Linked DNA regions of Canis lupus familiaris. The protein of the gene in region 2 interacts with the protein of the main gene of each other region in a biochemical or structural test. Links are inferred from orthologs where the notes say so. Each region holds a gene or a part of one and is shown on either strand. Other genes may lie near its edges. The genes, in order: DEDD2 and CFLAR.

Region 1 (4,511 bases), on a different chromosome or scaffold from region 2:
TTCACCAGGATTCAGGAGGAAGAAAGGGACGCTGCCATCACACCCAGCTCTCAAGGCTCACCTGTCTCCCACTGACCCTGCTGAACCTCTGAGGTACCACTGGACTGGCGACGGCGACGACGGCTACCTTCAGTCCTTTTAGAAGAAGAGCCAGAGGAGGTGCCATAGTTGTAGCGTTCTGGAGACACTTCAGAGAGAGAAAAACGGAAAGAAATATTCACAGCCTCCAACCCCTCCCCGACCCAGGCTCCCATTCCCACCTGGAGATGGACTCCTGCCCCACTAGGTGCCTGAGTTCCCCAGAAGTCAGAGCCCAGACAGCCGCTCCCTCTCAAATGCTTCCTGCCCAGTGGTTGCTACATGCCTACAATGAGAGATGAGACCCGTGACCTTCTGGGGCTATCCAACCCATGTTTATAGCAGCTTCCAATTGTCAGGGCTGGATTCTGTAAGTCGAGTCATGGCCAGGATCCCTGCAATGTGGCCCCCCACCGCCAATTGCCCCCAATGCTCCCTGAAGCCCCAAGAAGTAAGCAGGCTCCCCAAATTCCCTCTTCCGTAGCCCGACCTCCGCATATATTTTTCTAAATGCACTGTTGGCTCTCCTCTAGTGATGCCCTTCTCCTGGTTATCCAGTTCCCGTGGACTTTCTATGGGCAGGGGAAGTTTGCAATCCCCCTCCGCAACTAGCCACTGCACCTGATAACCCAGCCAAGGGCTCAACAGTTCAGGGCCTCTGCACACACAGGACTTCTATCCCTTAAACCCTTGGGTTCCTCACCTTCTCAGAACTGCTCCTCCAGGAGTACTTCCCTCACAGGATTAAGAGCATCAACTCAGAGCCAAGCCAGCCAGGTTTAAATCCTGACTCCCACACTTTCTACCTGTGTCATCTTCAAGCCCCTGTATAAAGTGGTTTCTTACCTCCCCCTCTGCTCTTCGTTTGTCAGTCCCCTTTGCTCCTGCCACACTGGTCTCTGATGATACCAAACTCAGTACTGACTCAGGGCTTGAAAGCCTATCTTTCACTCTGCCTGGCATTTTCTCCTCTGAGATCTACGCACACCAGGAGTAGAGCCTCCATTCCATCACTTTCTCAGAAAGGTTTGGACTGGTTATCCAATCTGAGGGGAGCTCCCTTCACTAGAAGGCACTCTCTACTCTCTGCATTCCCATAACTCTACTTTAGTCTTTCCATAACCCTATCTAAAAATAAACCATCTGCCTTGATGGCTGCTTCCCTCCACTAACCATAAGCTTCATGGAATAAACACTTTGTCAGTCCCAACACCCTGTACCTCCTGTACTCAGCACATAGGATTCAGTTCTTACATGGGTACAAGCTGCTTAACTTCTCTTAACCCGGTTCTTTTCCCTGTAAGGTGGAGACACTAACAGGGCTCCCCACCCCCACAGGATTACTGGGAGGATATAAGGCGACAGTTCACATGAAGGGCTTACCGCTGTTCCCAGCATGAAACAAGCCCTCCATAAAGTGGCCACAAACGTCACAGATGTGACCAAATTCCACAAGCTCGTGTCTCCCAAAGCCATGTCTCCTCCCTGTCCTGTTCCTCATTGATACTCTCGACGAAGGGGAGGAGCGAGTGGGGAAGCAGGCTGATATGGTGCTGTCCCTATCAGGCCACCATGGAGGCCCAGCCAGGGCAAGGCCCCAGGCCTACCGGAAGTCTGTCGCCCTCCCATTCAACCATACCTGGCCGGCGCCTCTTGCGCGCCAGGTGCGGCAGCAGGTCGTGGCGCGCCAGGACGCGCAGGAGTTGCCCCAGCAGGCGAAGGTTGCTCTCGTCGCACTGTCCGCGGCGCTCCAGCTCCAGCAGCAGCTCCAGGCCGCTTCGGGCGCGGGCCAGACCGCCGGCCGCGCCGGGGGCCTCGTCGAGCAGGAAGGCCAGAAGCTCCAGCTCGCACTCGGTCAGCTGCCCGCCCACCACCTCGAACATACGGTGAAGCGACAGCATCCCGTAGTAGTCCAGGCATTCATCCTCCTCCCAGCTCGGGGCCGGGGTCAACCCGGACAGCGCCATATCAGGGGGAGGGTGGGTGGCACCAGGGCCTAGAACCCACACAGCGCGGAGGGGACAGTGGTCAGCGACGCGAGGACCCGGGCCCTACTCCCGCCAGCGCGTCTCCCCAGCCCCGTGCTGCCGGGCAGGGCCACCTTCGCACCCCAGCCTTCCCGGCCGTCCGCCTCCCCCCAGAAAAGAATGGTATCGCCCGAGGTCCCCTAGTAACAGGTCGAGACGCTAGACCCCGCTCGTCCTCCCACCAGTAGGGCCCGCCCGGCCCGCACACCCCTCCCCAGGTGGTATGTCCCGAACCAGCCTCCGGATCCGACCGAGTGATCCGGTCCGAACAAGTGTGGGGGCCCATCCCGGGGCACCCTGCCAACCGCCCTTTGACTCTGGGCAGCACTGTCCGGACGTGCCCCTTGGCTCCGTCCTGTGGTATTGTCCGATCAGCGCCGCGGCTCCACCCAAATGGTACCGTCCGAAAGTGACCCTCTGCCCCCCACAATGGAGCCGACCAAAGCAGCCCTTCACCCCACACAGGTGGTGCTGCCCGAACCCGACCCCCTCGCTCTGTTAGGGCGGTACCGCTCTCTCCCCAACACCCAGGTGGCTCCGTCTACCCGCCACCAGTCGCCCTCAGGCCTCTCTGGATCCTCACCAGATTCCGGCGTCTGACGACTCCTGGGCGACGGCCGCAGCCACTTGTTTTGGATCTTTCTGGCACCTTCTCTATTATTACGCCTGCGTCACCTCGCCCCTCCTCCTTCCCCCAACTCGCGCAGGTGCGACCGCCACGCCCCTTGGGCGCATGCGCAGAGTGAAGCTTCCAAGCCCCACCCCCTCCGGGCCCGCCCCCAACCGTAGCGTCGGGGCCCCGCCAGTGCTGCGCCTGCGCAAGACGAGAGCGATTCCGCGTCTTGAGTTGGAACTGGTACTTGGTTGCAGGGTTGCTTCTGTCCGCCGGTGACTTAAGGTTGGGTCCCTGTTGCCCCACGTCAAGCCCTGTTGGAACTACCCAACTCAGGGACTACAGCCCCATCCTAAGCACGACCTAGACGCCCACATAACCGCTCCTTCCAGCTGCCTGTATGCAAGGAACCCCAATCGCCACCTTCCGGGCTTCTCATAGCCCCCAGGCCCCTTATGATCCGGACTTGAATGCTCCTCCATCAGACTGGCCCTTACCCCTAATGGCAACCAGGAACCTACGTCACAGCTGTGCCCATCTCATGACCCCAACTGGAATCTCTCTTCGAAGCCCCCATCACTAAGTTCCTACACCTCCCCCCCCCCCCCCCATCGAGGCTAGGAAGCTTTCCCATCTCACGTTAGAGACCAATACCTCCTTCCTGATTGCAATAGGCCCCTCCATCCCGACTGCTCACTTCCTGATGGCATCCAACACGGTCCCTTACTACAGTCAGACACCCTTTCCCTGTCTCAAACGCCCCCTCAACGACTCTTTCCAATCTCTGCCCTCAAAGATCAAGGGGCCTCCCAATGCCCCCTCTCTAACCTGCACTCTGGCGAGGGTAGATCCCTATTAAGACAACTGGAGTCTAGGCTGCAAGTCTGAGCATCTCCCCTGAGGTGGGGCCTTAGGCGTGGTGGCCACGGCCCACCCCCCCACACACACTTAGGTGACTCAAGGTCGAGACTCGCACTGTGCCTTGAAACAAGTCCTCTCCTCTGAGTGGTTCCCACCCCTGAAATTATCTCCCTTTGGAAAGCAGGGGACTTGGGTCCTGCTTGGCACTGGCTCAGCACTGTCGGCTTGGGCTGCAGCAGGGCCCTCAGAAGAGTCCTTTTCTCTAATGGCAACTGTCACCTATTAAAACCTAGTCCTGGGCCGGACACACAGTAGGCGTCCGATAAGTGAATATCCTTAAGTCAACTGAAGAGGGGGTGGGAAAGGAAAGCAATTTTGCAAACTGGTAAGGACTATGTCCGTGTTAGATGGGCTCTAATGAGCATCTACGGTGTATCAGGCCCTGTGCTGAGCGCTTTTACGTGTTTGATTTCAATCAACAACCTTTAATTTAAGGTGGATGTGATTCAGGTCCGTTTTACGCAAATGTAGAAGTGAGGCCCTGAGAGAAGTACCCCAGGTGTGTCTGGCTCCAAAGCTATGCTCTCAGCATAGCATCTGCTCGGCCTCTTCCTCTATGAAATAACACTTCTGTCCAGGTCTCCCGCCACCCGATTCACTCCATAGGCCCTGGCTCTCCAACGATGCCCACTTCTCACCGCTTAACTTTCTGATTTTTGGCAGAGCAGCCCAGGAGAACTGCGCAGGCGCTCACCTGCCCCCTCCCCAAGCTCCGCCCACGGGGCTCAGTTGTGTGCGTGGAGCAACTCGCGGCGCCCCGCCTGAGCGTCAACACGCAGGCGCGAGGGCGCGTGCCCTCCGCTGCCGGCTCTGATTGGCTGCCGCGGGTAAGGGCACCGCCCAATGGGAGGTGTGGATAGTGAGGGGTCCCG
Region 2 (3,807 bases):
CTCTCTCTCTCTCTCTCTCTCTCTCTGTGTCTCTCATGAATAAATAAAATCTTTTTTAAAAAACAAACTTTCCTGACAACATTCCTAACAGAGGGTCTTTTCAATACATAACAGGATAACAGGACCCATCTTACCCACATATCTTGAAAATTACTTCTGGTAGTTTGGTTAGGAAAGTTTAGTAATGAAGACTACAGAGCTAAGCTAAGAGAGGCTTTTGGCCATTCATTTACAGGAGAGGATAAGTTTCTTTCTCAGAGTATGCTGCAGCCAGACGTAGTACCTCTCCTTAGCAGACACTCTGCTATTCCAATCATACACGCTGCTGTTGAGTTCAGTGTGGAGTTCCAAGAGTGGGCGTCTTCTGGAGGGAATGAGAAAAGCAAAAATTAATGCCATGCAGATATCAAAGAGGAGACAGATTGTCATTAGGGTGAAATGAGCCAACAGATGTGAAAGTGCTTTACAATTGTTTCTTTTTAAATTCTCTCTACAAGCTACTGAGTGAGTGATCCAAATCAGCTTGCCCAATGACCACAGTCCCTTCACCCAAGGGGCAACAGCATCTTATCCTGGGGACACTCCAGCCAGATGATAACTTACCTGGATCATAATGCAAATGTAGGATGGATGCCAAGAACACTGCTGGCCCATGGAAGGCTGAGTCATTTCTACTATAGCCCATTCCTTGCTGCTGAACCACTACTGAAGGGGTTGGGTGGTCATAGGTCATGAGACATATATCTGGGGTCCCCAGAACTACAACAGAATGCATTTCACACATGGCTCAGAAACATCATTCTAAACTGTAACGAGTGAACAACTGAAAAAAGGACTGCTAATCTTATGTGGAAATAATCTTAAATAAAAACCAGATAACCAAGCTTTCCCTTAGAAAAGTATTCTTGCCAATAAACATCAGAAATGTCTGTATAACACAGACTTGCAGATGTGGGGAGTCAGGTACCATTTTCCACCTATCAAACTGTCAAAACAGGGCAATAAAAGAGCGTGCAGTGTCGAGCAGAATTTGGGGACATGGGCACTCTCGTGCAAAGTGGGTGTAACTGTCCTAGAGGGCAATCTGATAAGACACATCCAAGCCTTTCCAAATGTATGCTGTTTGACACAGCACTTCTTCTGGGAATTTTGCTCAAGAAAACAGTACGGATGAGCACAAATACTGAGCTACAGAGATATTGAATGCTTTCCTTGTATGAAAGCAAAATGCCTTCCAAAGACTGAAAATTGGTCAAGTAAATTATGCCATAGCCATATTCTGGACTGCTCCACAGACATTAAGATGATGCTGTAGAAATGTGACTACTGACATGTAAAATATATGGGATATACTGTTACACCAACTAAAAGCAGGTTATAAAGTAATAGTGGATGATGATTCCATTTTGGTTTAAAAAACATTTAGATATGAGACGCCTGGGTGGCTCAGAGGTTGAGCGTCTGCCTTCAGCTGAGGGCGTGATCCCGGGATCCAGGATCAAGTCCTGCATCGGGCTCCCTGCGAGGATCCTGCTTCTCCCTCTGCCTGTGTCTCTGCCTATGTGTGTGTGTGTCTCTCATGAACAAACAAATAAATCTTTTAAAAAAAACATTTAGATATGATTGTGCAGGTATCCAAAAAAAGATCTGGAAGGCAAAACACCAAAAAAGATCTGGAAGGCTAACAGAGATTGGTTCTAATAACTAGGATTATAACTGTTTGTTATGTTCTGGGTTCAGCACGTATATTTCATAGGGTTTTTTCAATAAGGCATATGTACTGCTTTTGTCATTTAAAAAAAAAGGCAATTAAAAATTTCTTTATTTTGAAGACCAATATCCAAACTACAAGCTGACTAGCAAGTGACCTCCCGAAGCACAAAGCATTCCCAAAACATGTATCTCCTGTGGCAATCCCAACAGGGAATGAAAAATCCTTTTCTGCCTGAAGAGAAGAGCACCCCACGTGGTAATCACAGTGGTAAACTCCATCTTGGTAGCAAGAGAATTGATGAGTGGTCCAAGGATGGGCCACCACCGAGGCGGCTCACCTGTCTTGCCCCAGTTTCTGGGAAAGGCATTTCAGGTACAATGATGGAGAACCAGAGGACTGTTCCAGAAGGGACACGTCTGCCTTGCACAGGCTCCAGAGGAAGTCAGCTTCCCGGTGAATGGTGCAGGGCCCGGGCTGCTTGGCTTTGGATTCCACATTGTTTACCTCTGGTCCATCCACCTCCAGGAAGCTGCTGCTGTCCATCTGGCCTTCTGACACCACATAGTTCTGAATAAAGAAGAGCTTTGGCTTCCCTAAGAGAAAAGGGCATGCGTCTCCCATGAACATCCTCCTGACCTGATCCAAAGGGAACCCTGAGTTTGTATGATCCACACCAAACACACTCTGGGAGCCACCTCGGCTCACCAGGACACACACAAAGCTGTCGTAGTCTTGGTGTTGGGGCATGCGGGCAACTTGGCGAAGAATCTGGATTATACTGTCCACGTTCAGATATAAGAAATACTGGACTTCGTAGCCCAGGGAGGTGAAGGTGTCCCGAAGAAAATCTGGATAAAATAAACAAACACACAGGGAAAACAACACTAGGATGAGAAACACTTAAGAGGCAGTGGATAGCAATCCTAAGCACGGGCTGATCTCTGCTCCTTATCCGTTTCTGCTTTTGTGCCATATTTTGAGGTTTCAAAGAACCGGAGCAGGGGGCAGGAAGGAATCAACCTGAAACACATTTATGTCCCAGGATCTCAGTTACCATCCGCCCCATTATACCACCTTCCCTGCCCAAGGCCACCAGCACACGTGGCCACAGGCATGGATGGAGCCTACTTCTAGGCCAATGCAACCAACAGGGGAACAAAACTTTTTCTCTTCAACCAAAACAAAGCTGGGGACTTTCCAAAAGGCTCTTTCTTAAACTCACACACAAGTAAGGAGGAATGGATGCATTTGCAAAGTGCAGACCCGCACCTAGATCCAAATGGCTGCAGGAAGGGTGGCCCAGGTCACGAGTCCCCTCATCCCCACAGCTGTGGGCTGCTACAGCTGCGGGCACCTCCATCCAAGGCGTGACTATTTCCAGACTCCCCAGTTGCTCTCATGACCCACTTCCCAGTGTAACCTCTGACCAAGATTCCCTGTAATGCCCCCAAGAATTCTTCTCTTAGTTTCCAGAAATTCTGGATTGGCTTTGCCTGGAAAAGCAGTGTTAGGGCGTGGAAAAGGCAGACTTTAGGGTGCACAAGCCTGCCTTCTAACACTGACCTTAAACATACCTGTGGCTGCATGACCTCAAAGAAGTAGGGCTCCCTAGCTTTTTTTTTTTTTAAGAATTTATTTATTTATTTATTCATTCATTCATAAGAGACACACAGAGAGAGAAGCAGAGAGATAGAGGGAAAAGTAGGCTCCTTGCAGGGAGCCTGATGCAGGACTCGATCCCTGTACCAAGATCACACTCTGAGCCAAAGGTAGATGCTCAACTGCTGAGCCACCGAGGCGTGATGGTGGAAGTGATAGAGGTGATGATACTCAGCCTATGAGCATGCTGTGAGGATTAAGTGAGATAATACACATAAAGCTCCTGGGACTCTATTCCTTTTTTAAAGAAAATCTTGTATCCATCTCTTAGAAGTTTCTAGAGCCTTGGAACCATAGAAATCCTACCCAGTCCATTTCTTGCCCATCTGCTCAGTTTGCCTTCATCAGAGAAATAGTTTTCTGCTTTGTCACATCTTTCTAATAGCAGAGGCAGACATCTTTCTCTTCCTCCTTAAAAATTCCACATCCCTTTG

What was found.
Region 1: the proteins of CFLAR (region 2) and DEDD2 form a complex in vitro, tested with the Homo sapiens proteins (2 studies listed by BioGRID). The link is inferred for Canis lupus familiaris from reciprocal best matches to the Homo sapiens genes CFLAR and DEDD2.

The regions. Positions count from the first base shown.
Region 1 is NC_049222.1:112,875,400-112,879,910, reverse strand, and holds the start of DEDD2 (DNA-binding death effector domain-containing protein 2), read right to left. Parts: upstream 2,847-4,511; 5' UTR 2,689-2,846; exon of another isoform or gene 2,595-2,688; intron 2,571-2,594; exon of another isoform or gene 2,365-2,570; intron 2,075-2,364; 5' UTR 2,046-2,074; coding exon 1,718-2,045; intron 188-1,717; coding exon 62-187; intron 1-61. UniProt on the Homo sapiens protein: May play a critical role in death receptor-induced apoptosis and may target CASP8 and CASP10 to the nucleus. May regulate degradation of intermediate filaments during apoptosis.
Region 2 is NC_049258.1:10,161,350-10,165,156, reverse strand, and holds part of CFLAR (CASP8 and FADD-like apoptosis regulator), read right to left. Parts: intron 2,563-3,807; coding exon 2,052-2,562; intron 365-2,051; coding exon 226-364; 3' UTR 1-225. UniProt on the Homo sapiens protein: Apoptosis regulator protein which may function as a crucial link between cell survival and cell death pathways in mammalian cells. Acts as an inhibitor of TNFRSF6 mediated apoptosis.